3 linked regions of the Saccharomyces cerevisiae S288C genome follow. Changing the gene in region 3 together with the main gene of any one other region gives a genetic interaction. Each region holds a gene or a part of one and is shown on either strand. Other genes may lie near its edges.

Evidence for each region. A genetic interaction does not mean that the proteins touch.
Region 1: mutations in PPE1 (region 3) and YNR061C together harm fitness more than expected from each alone (negative genetic interaction), as found in Saccharomyces cerevisiae (one large-scale study listed by BioGRID).
Region 2: mutations in PPE1 (region 3) and YGR035C together harm fitness more than expected from each alone (negative genetic interaction), as found in Saccharomyces cerevisiae (one large-scale study listed by BioGRID).

Annotation. Positions count from the first base shown.
Region 1 is NC_001146.8:741,758-746,150, forward strand, and holds YNR061C (uncharacterized protein), read right to left. Parts: upstream 1,784-4,393; coding exon 1,124-1,783; downstream 1-1,123. Other genes in the region: FRE4 (ferric-chelate reductase), read left to right, coding at 1-353; PUL3 (Pul3p), read right to left, coding at 2,603-3,586.
Region 2 is NC_001139.9:555,949-560,184, forward strand, and holds YGR035C (uncharacterized protein), read right to left. Parts: upstream 1,475-4,236; coding exon 1,124-1,474; downstream 1-1,123. Other genes in the region: 60S ribosomal protein uL24 RPL26B, read left to right, coding at 360-724; YGR035W-A (uncharacterized protein), read left to right, coding at 1,617-1,838; CAX4 (dolichyldiphosphatase), read right to left, coding at 2,201-2,920; long-chain fatty acid transporter ACB1, read right to left, coding at 3,783-4,046.
Region 3 is NC_001140.6:247,412-252,443, forward strand, and holds PPE1 (phosphoprotein phosphatase methylesterase 1), read right to left. Parts: upstream 2,231-5,032; coding exon 1,028-2,230; downstream 1-1,027. Other genes in the region: QNS1 (glutamine-dependent NAD(+) synthetase), read left to right, coding at 1-926; type 2C protein phosphatase PTC7, read left to right, coding at 3,690-3,744, 3,838-4,814; NMD2 (Nmd2p), read right to left, coding at 4,963-5,032. UniProt on the Saccharomyces cerevisiae protein: Demethylates proteins that have been reversibly carboxymethylated. Demethylates the phosphatase PP2A catalytic subunits PPH21 and PPH22. Forms inactive complexes (PP2Ai) with phosphatase PP2A-like catalytic subunits.

The DNA.
Region 1 (4,393 bases), on a different chromosome or scaffold from region 3:
CTTCGGCTGAAAAAATTTCCTCAAATGAAGTCAAAAACGGTGAAACGACAGCAGAGAAGGCCCCATCTAGTCTAAGCAATTCAGAAAAAGCTCCTTCTGAAAGTGAAAATACAGAACTACCTCTTTCCCTGAATGACACGTCTATCTCCGATTTAGAATTTGCCACTTTCCATGTTGGAAGGCCAAATGTTGAAGAAATACTAAATGAATCTGTTAACCATTCTGGTTCACTTGCCGTCGTATGTTGCGGACCACCTATTTTCGTCGACACCGCTAGAAATCAAACTGCCAAAGCTGTTATCAGAAACCCATCAAGAATGATTGAATACTTGGAGGAATACCAAGCCTGGTGAACAATTTTTCATATTTAAGTAAACACTCAATGTATAATATCCTCTAACTGTTGTAATTTCATTAACGTAGATGGTTTGCGCCTTTTTTAGGGGACTCTTGTTGATTGATTCTAACTACTGAGGCTTAAGTTGTTTCAAATAACACTTTTTCAGAAAAATAATCGTATTAAAAAGCAGAAAAATCATACGTAAGATGACAGAAGCTTCATATTTAGTAACTCTGAATTGTATAACACACCAATTGCCGATAGAATATGAACCAATCGATCTTCAGCGTTCATGTACTTAATTTAACTACCTGTATTTTCTTATAAAGATAAAATTGGTGTATAATGTAAGGACCAAGAGAAAAAGGAATCCCGCATCCCAAGCAATTTCTAGTGGACTATTTCTTCAAAAAATAACTCAATAAACACCTATATAATGTTCGGAGGTTATACTTTAGTGTTTTAGAATGCAGTACCAAAAGTAATATATTGAATTAATAACTATATGATGTGTAGCTAAGAATTAAATAGTAAACGTCTTCTGAAACCTTTTAAGAGGTAATTATTGGTATTCCAAATTCATATGTGGAGGTAAGGGAGACACAAAATTATCTGGAATGACAGCGTGCTGACACCTATAAGGTTCCGTAACTTCAAATGCCTTCATTACTCAACATAGGAAAAGTGAAAGTGTGTGCCTCTAAAATATACGGAACATCGTCGAACTAAAAAAATCCATTAAGCAAAGTCAGAAACAGCATGCACTACAAGACATTTGGTTCATCATGAAGAATGCTCAATTGAACCATCAATCACTTTCTCTTGTTCGATGTTAGCATTATCCTCACTATCAGTTGAATCCTCAATGCTTTCGGTTTCAGTCCTCGCATCTTCCTGAACTTCAAGATCTAAAAGAGGCTCACTCTCTTCCAGACTGGTCTCCAAGCGGTCCACGGTATCACGTAATGCCTTCACACAAGCCTTCAAAACAGATCTTGTGCTTGACCCATTTTCCTTAGCTTGAGATAGGACTGTGATATAAGAAGCATATGTGGTAGCGAGAAATAGTATGAATAAAACGGCTTCTGGTAAAATATCTATTTTAGCAATCTTACAAGAACCTGAATAATCAAAGTTTATACCCCGTGGCATACTTGAGCAGGACATAGAACCAAATTTTGAAGCTAGAGTTACGAAAGCGGTAAACCACAGGACGGTCTGAACAATTTCCATCACGAATATTAACAGAACAGGCAAAAATCTCACAATCCCAAAATAAACTGAAGATATGATTGAAACAGCTAAGCTCAATCTAAGGATTCGATCCACTTTATAGTTTGTGATTATGGCAAAACTAGCTAACAACAAGTTAGTTACAGATAAGCCAAGTTGGAAATATCTTAGTACGTGGAAAGTAACGGATGTTGTTGTTAACTTTAACATATATGTATTGAGTTATTATTATAGATCTTGACTTGGTAACAAAATATCAAGCTGTAAGCACCGCCTGTATTCTCCTATTTATGGTTGATTATATTTTACTTCTGTTGAACCAAGAAAAAAATAGCAACTCGAAAAGTCGCTTATTCATTCACTTTTTTAATTTTTTTACATATCGCATACGTAATTGGAAACACGCAATTTTAACTTTGGGCAAATACATAAATCATTTTGAGAAGTTGGTTTTTAGTCTCCGAGAGATTATAAACCAACATCCTTAAAAGATAGTATTCATTTCTCACCTGCCAATGCAAGAGCAGATATTATTCAGCAAGCAGTACAGCAAATCGGAAGCGAATTCCAATGACAATTTGCAGAATAAGATTAGAATAATATATTGAGATTAAAGAAAAGGTTATGCGAATTGCCTAACGTCTTTAACTTTGAAGCGGCCAAACTCTAAAAAACCTTGGTTAAAATACAAGCTTTGGCGTCCATGCAAACTGATTACATCATTCAGTATAAAGTGCCATATAAAAGAGGCACACACTTTTCCACAACTGGTTTGAATATAATAGAAGAATAAATCAGAAGGAAACTTTAAATATTAGTAATATTTATTTATGGCCGCTAAAAGATTAGTCCGGATATATCACTATAGAAATGGTAAAGATAATACACTATCATTTCCAAATGTAAAATTTGTTGATAGAACGCCATAAAAAAGAGGCTGACTTTTTGTCGTCCAAGTTCTTCGAAAAAATATACGTCAATGGCACCCGATATATAGCTGGATTTGGACCAGTATATGTCTAAGGAAATCTAACACCTTTTTTTCCTGAGCCAAATAAGCGGTGGAATTGAAACAGCTACCAAAATCATACCAAATCCAACCGCAATTGAAAGCCCCAATCTTGTGCCATAAAGAGCTGCTAATACAATCGGTGCCACCAGTTTACCAATCCCAGAGATTGCTCCAATTGAAGGCATCAACTGGACCTTGAGTTTGGGGTCGATGTACATGGAAAAAAGGGCTGGAATGCTCGAAGCCAAAAAGTTGTACCCTAACAATGTAATCGACATCCCAGCTGAAAAAAATATACCAGAATTTGTGGGTGGCATTGATTTATGCTTCAAGGCTTCGGATGCTCCAATCATAAAAGCTTGTCCCAGCAATGAAACAAACAATGCAAAGATGGACAGAAAAACTTGACCGCTGTACAGCGAATCTTTTTTCTTTACCTCAACGGTCTCACTTCCAGTTGTATCTGACTCTTCTAATCCGCCATCTTTGGCTCTGCCGCAGGAGCACCCGACGTTTATTAACTTTGGAGCGAAATAGCTTCCAGTCACACCAAGTATAGATGCGACCATAAACGCTATGCCTTGAAACTTGGTGTCCCAGTTAACGTGGAGCGTCAGGAATAGTGGCATAAAATAAACTACTTCGCTCATAATAAATGACGATAGGAACATGCTCCATAGTAAAATCAAGCAGGAGATGAGTTTTTTTCTTTCGACTCTAAAAAATTGTTTCAGAGCACTGAAAAGGCTATTTTCCGAATTTGTAACTTTAACCTCAGGATTTTCCAGAACGACAACTAATAAAAGGCATACTGCAAGAATTATGAAACTGGAGGCAAATGTCGGTGCATTGTAAGAGGCAATGCGATACCCTTTAATTTTAAAATCGCAATATCCAAAAAATATGACAATTAATTGTGCCAACGCCATGAAGATACCAGCCGCTGCTCGATAAATTGATAGAAGCTTGAAAACGATACCCCTATCTTGTGCAATTGACATGATGTAACTGAACACTATAGCACCAGAAGCAGATGCTGCACCACATATAATACGCCCACCGAGAAGGGTGTTTAGCGACACTGCACCGCCGCATGAATACAAAAAATTACCCACAAAGGATAAAAAGTAAAGCCCCACTATTACCCATTTAATGGACCCAAGAAAAGCAGCAATATCCCCAATAATGAATGAAACAAAAACTTGAACTGCTGCAGAAATGGCTTGAATTCTGAACAAGAATTTGTCCGGATTGGTTTCTCCGTTCTCTAAATTGTTAGCATACTAGTTCATTGAAATTATCTTAGATTTACATTAACACTTACTTCTTTGATGTAGTCAACCACACTTGAGAGATATACACAGGAGTCGAAACTGAATTGGACAGCTATCAAAATTACAGCCAAGTATTTCAAAAACATGTGTTTCTTGACACCTAAGATTTTTTTCATTTTAATTTATTGTACCACCGTCGAGTGAAATGGATGGATTTGTAATGCAATTGAGATACAATTAAGAAGAACGAAAGAGTACTTGACAACTAGAAAGTAATGTTAACTGATCTTTTATATGATGATTATTTATTGACGGCGATTCTTTTCCAGATTAGGAAATTTTGTTCCGCTTAGAATGGGATAGGCTTGTTTGGGCGCTATACTTCTGTATCAAAATAGTAAAATCAACTTATTTTAGTAATAGAAGAGAACAGTAGGCGTTTGGTAATTCTAATTACCTAGACTGTCCCCCATTTCCAGACAGCTGTCCCATATTTTTTTGAGATTCCGACGTCGAAGCGAAAGACTAGAAGAA
Region 2 (4,236 bases), on a different chromosome or scaffold from region 3:
AATGTGTATGATGAGGAGGAATGTACCTAAGCCAAAAAAAAAAAAAAAAAAAAAAAAAAAAAAAGAAACAGCTTTTGCATATTCAATCCAGGCATAGGGCGACTATTTAGCACTCAACGATTTTTAAGCTTGTGTATTGCTGACATAAATTCCGGCTTTAGAATCCAATATTGAAAAACGTGAGTACGCAGAGGAGATAGAAGAAAAGTAGGAAGTTACCGTTTATATTGATTTGTGAAATGCATACTCCGTTGGATGTGGGGCAACATAGATTTAAGTGTGGATGAAAATTATGTGCTCATTGTGAAAAAAAAGTTTTGCTTTTACTAACAAATTTTTTTATTATTTGTTTTCAATAGACGTTTCCTCTGACAGAAGAAAGGCCAGAAAGGCTTATTTCACTGCTCCATCCTCTGAACGTCGTGTTTTGTTATCTGCTCCATTATCCAAGGAATTGAGAGCTCAATATGGTATCAAGGCTTTGCCAATCAGAAGAGACGATGAAGTCTTGGTTGTTCGTGGTTCCAAGAAGGGTCAAGAAGGTAAGATTTCATCTGTTTACAGATTGAAGTTTGCTGTTCAAGTTGACAAGGTCACCAAGGAAAAGGTCAACGGTGCTTCCGTTCCAATTAACTTGCACCCATCCAAGCTTGTTATCACTAAGTTACACTTGGACAAGGACAGAAAGGCTTTGATCCAAAGAAAGGGTGGTAAATTGGAATAAACTAGCTCGACTTTAACATAGATCATACAAAAAATACAATAAATAAATCCTGTGTTTCTTTTATGTATATTTTTTATCAATTTCAATTTAGTTTAGTTTAGTTTCTTTAAAAATAAAATTGTAATTTCTCACATTCTGCCTTCGGGTCTCAAGGGCTGGTTGGTAGACGAATGCGCTTGTTTCTAGCTGAGCGGCAGATGCATGAATTCAATGCAAGAAAATGAGAAAACTTCCAATATTAAAATGTGATTGTTAATTATTAGTATATTTATGACAATATATATATGTACATAGGGTGATTATGAAGATGAGTAAGATGCGAATGGATATGAGGATATGAATCTTTTTAGAGACAATGAAGATGCAAAGAAGTAGTTAAGCACATTGACCTCAGGGTTGCTATATGCTACTTTTAGTCCGTTGGATTTCTGAAGCAGTATTGGCCACAAAAATTTCTTCATTATTTCTACGATTAGAGTTTCTTCTGGATTTTTCTCGTCCCTGAGACTTACTCCTTTTCAAGTCATTTTCAGCAGCAGCTTTGATTAAATCATATCTTGTGATTTTACTTGGAGAGCTATTGTGATGGGAACTTTGTCTGCATGTGACTGTATTAGTCAGAGATGTTATGGGCTTAACCATAAGGGAAGAAACTATGGCACGCATGAATGAATTACTGCTTTTACTGCTGTCATCTGTTGAGTTTGCTGAGTCTTCCGTTCTTGTAGTCTTGGCTGGTGTGAGTAACATTACGTATTGTTTCTGTAGAGAAGATAACTTATAACTTCCGTCTTGTCACTAGTTGTTTTAATTATATGTTTGTTACAAGTTTTTATGTATAGATATATGTTACAACTTTTAGAAGTATTGTGGACATAACAGAGAGAAGGGAATGTTGCTATATTTATATATTTTATATATTGCCCTCAAAACTGTATCTCATCTTTTTTTCTGCAATCCTTGCTTTCGTAATCTAAGTGTGGGTGACATGCTAAATCCGCGGCTTTCCTTAAGCTTTTTCACAAACCATCTATTATGTCCAGAAGCTCCGCTGATTATCCGTGGAAAAGGGTCTTATTCTGCCGTAGGAAACTTCTTCTCGAGAAAAAAGTGAGTTCACCCGCGGCGCTCTCGTAAAACCCGAGGGCCGATTCTTTCCCTCCGTGGAACAATCGGCCCCGCGGCGTCAGAGGGTATTATCTCCGCAAGTGATAGAACTCACATTTATTCTACGTTCTGCATGGTTTTGATTATCTTCTTTTGCACGATGTCACATACTTTTTCGATTACCGTCGCTTTACACAGTAACTGTTTAAAACGAGCGTTCTTAATTAATAACTGTAGGAGAGCAGGCTTTCGGCTTTCTTTATGAGAAATAAGGACTACTCCAGCTTGCCAAGTTTTATCCAGTTACACAAACGCTCAAGATCGCCTCGCTAAAATAGATGAAAAAATAAGAAAAATGAAATGTTCAACCTAATCCCTTTTGGATTTATCATTGAAAGATCGCTGATTTATTCTTTTCCAATACGCCTCGTAATTCTCTTTCAATGTCAAAGGCGCCAGATTGTAAGAATCTGTCATGTAAAATAATCTGACAATACGTAGTTTTAAAAACCAATTGATTAAACCAAGCTCTCTTATGATGCCAACTATAAAAAAATAAAGTGATCCAGTCAGTGCCCCCACGCTGAATCCCACGATTACTTGATCTAAATTGTGGTAGTGCAAGTAAACTCTGGAAAAGCAAACGCAAAACGATAATAAAGCCAATGCACCAGAAAAAATGCATTTTTCTAAGAAGTTTAGATTCTTCCAGGAAGTGTATATCTTCAGAGAGTTATAGGTAAAACAAAACCCCATGAATTGGGAGTGTGCACTGGGCATCCCGTAACCGGATCTTATAGTGTCATTTTGGAACGACGCACCGAACGATACGGGGCGTGGCTGTTTTATTATATTCTTGATCACGTTATTGAATATTTCGTTCATCAATTGGCCAAAGGCTACAATGCAGGCTTCTAACTCTCTTGTGATGATAAACCACGACAAATAAAAAGCTAGCACTAGGATGGGCATCAGCGAGAAATATGCACTAAGGAATGATAGAAAGTCATGCGAATCATAGAGAATGTATGTGTCATCGAATGGTATAACATTTGGATTTGGATTTATTGCAGCGGCGGTACTATTCATGATATGATCCGATTCAAAACAAATTTTGATGTAGATAAAATGCCTGGTATAATGAGTGGTAGAGAAGAAAATTAGACGAAAAGAATGAGAACGAAGAAATGATTTAAAGTGATCACAGTGGCAATCACTTTCCCCTTTTTAACGCGTGTTGAGCAATCGATTGATGTCTCTACCATATGTAGCATTTTCTCAGAAGGCAAACTTTTCTTTTTCTTTCTACTTTTCCAACAAGAAATTTTAAGTTTTCCCAGAAACCCGAATTCTCCTATTTCATCCACCACGTAAGAACGGTTTTCTTCCTGGCGTAATTAAAAGCATAAAGAAAAACTGAACAAGCTCTAGATGTAGATCAGGGTATACATGGTGCGCTTCAGTAAGTGTACTGTACCACTAGTTTGGCGTCTGTCACTTGAATTGCGGATTTGTGTAGAGCAATGAAAGCGCTGCTTCTGCCGCCATCAAAAAAAACTGAGTAGTTATTAAAGCCTATGTATGACAATATAAAAATGTATACAGATCAGTCTGTATATAAATCATGAAAATATCTTTAAAAATTTCAAGAGCGTGTTTCCGCTAAACCTTGTCATATTCAACACAAATCAGTATCATTCTCGGCGTAAATTACATGCGAATCTCCCTAATTGTGATTCAATATTCCAGCGAACCCCGAGAATTTAAATAGAACAGAGTATATGCATTTATTAACAGTTATTACGCCTTGTCCCCAGGGAGAGTAGTAAGGGATATGGGCATTTATAAATGTACATAAGTCACGTTTTTGCAGCCAATAAAATATAATAATAGAATAGTAACAAGGAAAGCTAGGCCAAAACTCCTTACATGGAGCTAGTATACCCCTTTTCTAAGAGGAGTACTTGGCAATCAGTTGATCAACAAGGGCAATGTATTCCTTTTCGGCATCTTCCTGGGATTTACCTTTTAAGTTTTCCCAGGCTTCCCACTTGTAGCGGTCCTTCATGTTGAAAATACCAGGCTTTTCCTTGTCGTTGTCACCTACAGTGGCTTGCTTGTACAGAGCATACAATTCTAATAATTCATCAGTGGAGGGCTTCGTTGGTAGCTCGTTGACGGCTTTAGCTTTTTCTTCGAATAATTGGGAAACCATTTTGCTGAAAACACTAGTTTAACTAATTTTAGAGTTTTAGTCTTCCTTCTTTTGCTTCACACAGTGAAATGATGTACATAACGTACTTGCTTCCGAGACAGACCAATTGATCCAAGCTAGCTATATATATGGCGGTCATTGGGGAGTTGGCCTGGAGCTGTTGAGTTTGCGGACGTGTCAGAGAGCGCGT
Region 3 (5,032 bases):
CAGACAGTCCACAGGATCTAGCCTCAAAAATATTTCACTCCTGTTTCATGGGTACGGAAAATTCATCCAAGGAGACAAGAAACAGAGCAAAGGACCTTTCCAATGCAATTGGATCTTACCACGTGGATTTAAAGATGGACTCATTGGTATCCAGTGTGGTGTCCTTATTCGAAGTAGCCACTGGCAAAAAACCAATATACAAAATATTTGGGGGATCTCAAATCGAGAACTTGGCTTTACAAAACATCCAGGCGCGTCTAAGAATGGTTCTTTCTTATCTTTTTGCGCAACTGTTGCCGTGGGTTCGTGGTATCCCAAACTCGGGTGGATTGTTAGTACTTGGTAGCGCAAATGTTGATGAGTGCTTACGTGGGTATCTAACAAAATATGACTGCTCCTCCGCAGATATCAACCCTATTGGGGGTATTTCAAAAACTGACTTGAAAAGATTCATTGCCTACGCATCAAAACAATATAACATGCCAATCTTGAATGACTTTTTAAACGCTACACCAACTGCAGAATTAGAACCTATGACTAAAGATTACGTTCAATCGGATGAGATAGATATGGGGATGACGTATGAAGAATTGGGCGTGTTTGGTTACCTAAGAAAGGTTGAAAAATGTGGTCCTTATTCTATGTTCTTAAAACTTCTTCATCAATGGTCCCCAAAGTTAACACCTCGTCAAATATCTGAAAAGGTGAAAAGATTTTTCTTCTTCTATGCCATCAACAGACACAAGCAAACTGTTTTAACTCCTAGTTATCATGCTGAACAGTATTCACCAGAAGACAACAGATTTGACTTACGTCCTTTCTTAATCAACCCAAGATTTCCATGGGCTTCAAGAAAAATTGATGAAGTTGTCGAGCAGTGTGAAGCACATAAAGGCTCAACGCTTGACATTATGTCTATTGATTAGCACAGAAGAAGTGCTCACAGCAAAATAAGACTTTTCCACGAGTTCATATATTCTGTTATTTATTCTATCATAAATAAAGATATAAAAGTGATATTTAACCCTTATGTATTTTGCACGGTTTTGTGTTGACCCCAATTAGTCTTGATTACTACATTCCTAGAATCGTTCCGCTTCCAGAAATCAATTAAAGTGATTGCTGTTTTTATAGGCGAATCTTCTTGAATGAAATGCCCGGAATCTTGGAAAACTACCAACTGATATTTACCTTGCATTTGCCCCACAATTAATTCTTTATCGAGATTTTCGTTTCCCGCCAATATTAATAATTTACTAACAGGTAAGCCAACAAAGGAGTGCGACAGATCGGTAAACCATGTGTCCCAGAAAGGGCTAAAGGTCTTAAGGTTTGTTATCCTGACAACTTTCCCTGACTTGAGCGGAGCAAATAAAGCTGGTATAGCAATTTCGGCGCTTGACCTCAATCTCGATAACGCGTGTTGAACGTGCCAATCGACAGCGTCATTAATTGATTCAAATACATTGGGTGTATTCTGCAAAAAATGTTCAACTTTATTTAAGGCCATAATGGCAGCCTCTTCTACAATATCTAACATAGTAATACCAAGAATTTTCTTTTGTAGTTCTGTTGATAATTTAGGGTACGCAAAAGTACATATACTTCCACCAAGGGAATGACCAATTAGTATAACAGATACCTTCTGAAGTGGCTCTTGGCTTATTTTAGACTTAAACCAATAATTTAGCAGGCTTACAAAATCTTTGATAAAAGAGTCCCTGTCAAAGCATATAGGCGCATCAGCCTTCTTAAACTTTGTTTCTGCATGCCCCCTAGCATCAAATGCAAAGCATCCGCATCTTCCTTCTAGTTTAGTATTTAATTCCTTGGCCAAGTTTGCAAATGATAAACCTGAGGAGCCCGCCCCATGGTGGAAAATAAAGATGGGAATTGAAGTGGTATTTGATAACAATGAAGTAGGTAATGTATAGTATGTATTTACGTCCAGATCTCTATCAGGAAGACTTACCAACTCCTTATTATCAAAAAAATCACTCCAAGTGGGTAAACTACTCTTTTCCTTACTTGAAATTCTATCAGTAGTACTACCGGTTTTGCCCGTATATTTTCTGTTCCTATTTGATTGTCCATTAAATGATGGCAGGGAACCTAATGCATCACCATCGTTTTCATCATCCTCGTATGCTTCTTGGAATGTCGCATCTAGAACATTCTTGGCTCTCTCAAACTGGGATAAAGCAATTTTTCTTCTCAAATCGTCAGACATTGAAAATTTGAAAATGTCCTACCGTTACTACCAGTTTGTTGCCGTATTTTTGACTCTTTGTTGAGCATTAGTTGATCATTACCGCTGCAGTCAGTTAATGATATCCCTAAATAGGCATATTGTACAATTTCAAATATATTACCCGAATTACAAGAACAATAGGGTCTTCTACAATATTACTATGAACAATTCATAGGGGAACATAGTCCACTTCAATGTCGGTGCCAACGATTCTATTTGTTGTAAGTATATATGCTGTTTCCCGGCAATACTTTATATTGGGGGAATTTTCTGGAGGTTTAAGGGCATATTACTACGTCAAGGCTGGGATTGACCTTCTGGTATATATTACGTTGCGCAGGACATTCCTTATACTTGAGCCTTTGTAAAAACTTCTTCGTTCTCCTGACCAACCGTTCAATTATGTTGTGAATTTTTTGATCCGAGTTTGAAACATCCAAATTCACAAACAAACCGTTGTCATCCTGAGTTGGCGTCGGCCATTGAGCTTCCTCTATGTGTTTTAAATCTTTCATTTTAAGAAATCTAAGTAAGGAAATTGTTTCTCCACATGTGTACCGTATAAAGTTCTTGTTATGAATTAGAAGGATTATCACAAAAGCCCTCCATCAAATCTGATAATTTCATTACCCAAAGACTGTAATACCTTGGGTGTAAAGATCGTATTTTTTGATGTCTTCGTGATATTTTGCAGATCTTTCCATTTTATAAATTTCTGCAAATATCGTGCATCAGCTCATCTTGGAATTGGCACAATCTGCGTAATTTTTTTCTTGGTTCTCTTCTCCTTTTGATTTTAAGAGCGCTTTCTATTCAGTAGCAGATTTTCAGTAAATAAAGCCATCTTTCTCAAGTAAACTCATGATCATGCAGTTGTTCAAAATTACACCAATAACGATGTTATCTTTAAAACTTTCCCCAGAAAGAAGATGGCACTTTTGCACTAAATACTTCAAACTATTTAACTTTGAAGCAGGACATATTGCCGGTTATTTGACCATGCTGGCGCCGTTGACATTCATGTAAGCAGTATTAGCTTTTAAACTGCCATTAACGCACCTATACGATTGCGGCGGTGCGAAAACAGTAACTAGCACTCTTACGGCTCATTGTTTCCTCTATCCAAAGTTGCCTATATCACAATAAAATTAGAAATTAATCATTTTAATAAGCTTGCTGCCATTCAGTGACTCGCAATCTACGTTTTAAACGTAATTTAAAAATCCACTTCCACCTACATATTTTGCAACAGTCGTACGACAGAAACTGAGGCTCTATAAAATGAGATGTGCTAATTGTTCTTTCTTGGCTGGTTTCAGCTACATCTTTCTGTAATCAATCTACAAATTTACACGCGAGCTTCATTTTGACAGTAAACAAATGTAAAAGACACATGCAATAAAAGCGGTCCAGAAAACAAACGACAAAGCCACCAAAAATGTTTGCAAACGTTGGATTTAGAACTTTGAGGGTCTCGAGAGGTCCCCTTTATGGTATGTTTATTGTTTTATTCATTGGTGTGCTAATTGCTAAATTTGCGGGACAAATGCTAATCGACTCAGAGACTAACTTTTCTCATATCATAGGATCCTGCAGTCAAATCATCAGCTTTTCCAAGAGGACTTTTTACTCAAGTGCCAAGAGTGGGTATCAATCGAACAACAGTCATGGTGATGCGTATAGTTCAGGTAGCCAATCAGGCCCGTTCACCTATAAAACCGCGGTAGCTTTCCAACCAAAAGACAGAGACGATCTGATATACCAAAAACTAAAGGATTCTATTAGATCACCTACAGGAGAAGACAACTATTTTGTTACATCAAACAACGTTCACGATATTTTTGCCGGTGTCGCAGACGGTGTTGGAGGATGGGCTGAGCATGGGTATGACTCCAGCGCCATCTCAAGAGAATTGTGTAAAAAAATGGACGAAATAAGCACTGCTTTAGCAGAAAATTCATCCAAAGAAACGCTTTTAACGCCAAAGAAAATTATTGGTGCTGCATACGCAAAAATTAGGGATGAGAAAGTAGTGAAGGTTGGTGGGACAACAGCCATTGTGGCTCACTTCCCATCTAATGGAAAATTGGAAGTTGCCAACTTGGGTGATTCTTGGTGTGGAGTCTTCAGAGATTCTAAACTTGTATTCCAGACAAAGTTTCAAACTGTTGGATTTAATGCTCCTTACCAATTGTCAATCATTCCAGAAGAAATGTTGAAAGAGGCCGAAAGAAGGGGTAGCAAGTATATTTTAAACACCCCCAGAGACGCTGATGAATATAGCTTCCAATTGAAAAAAAAGGATATTATTATATTGGCTACCGATGGTGTAACCGATAATATTGCCACAGATGATATTGAGCTTTTTCTGAAGGATAACGCTGCGAGAACAAACGATGAGTTACAGCTATTATCCCAGAAGTTTGTGGACAATGTTGTCAGTTTAAGCAAGGACCCCAATTACCCCAGTGTTTTTGCGCAAGAGATTTCTAAGCTAACTGGCAAAAACTACAGCGGTGGTAAAGAAGACGATATAACTGTTGTTGTCGTGAGAGTTGACTAACACTCCGCTCTTTAATCTCCTGGAAAGCAGTGTAAATAAAAATACAGCGTCATAAACGGTACTATATAAACACGTAGCCATTTAATAGAGCCAAACATAAGTGGGCATATATAGTAAAAATTTAAAGAACTATATTCGCAAAAGAATCTCAGTCGAAAGAACGTTTTAAAACAATCTTTTTAATCTTGTTTCGCTCGGTTTTTAGTTTCTCTTCTTCT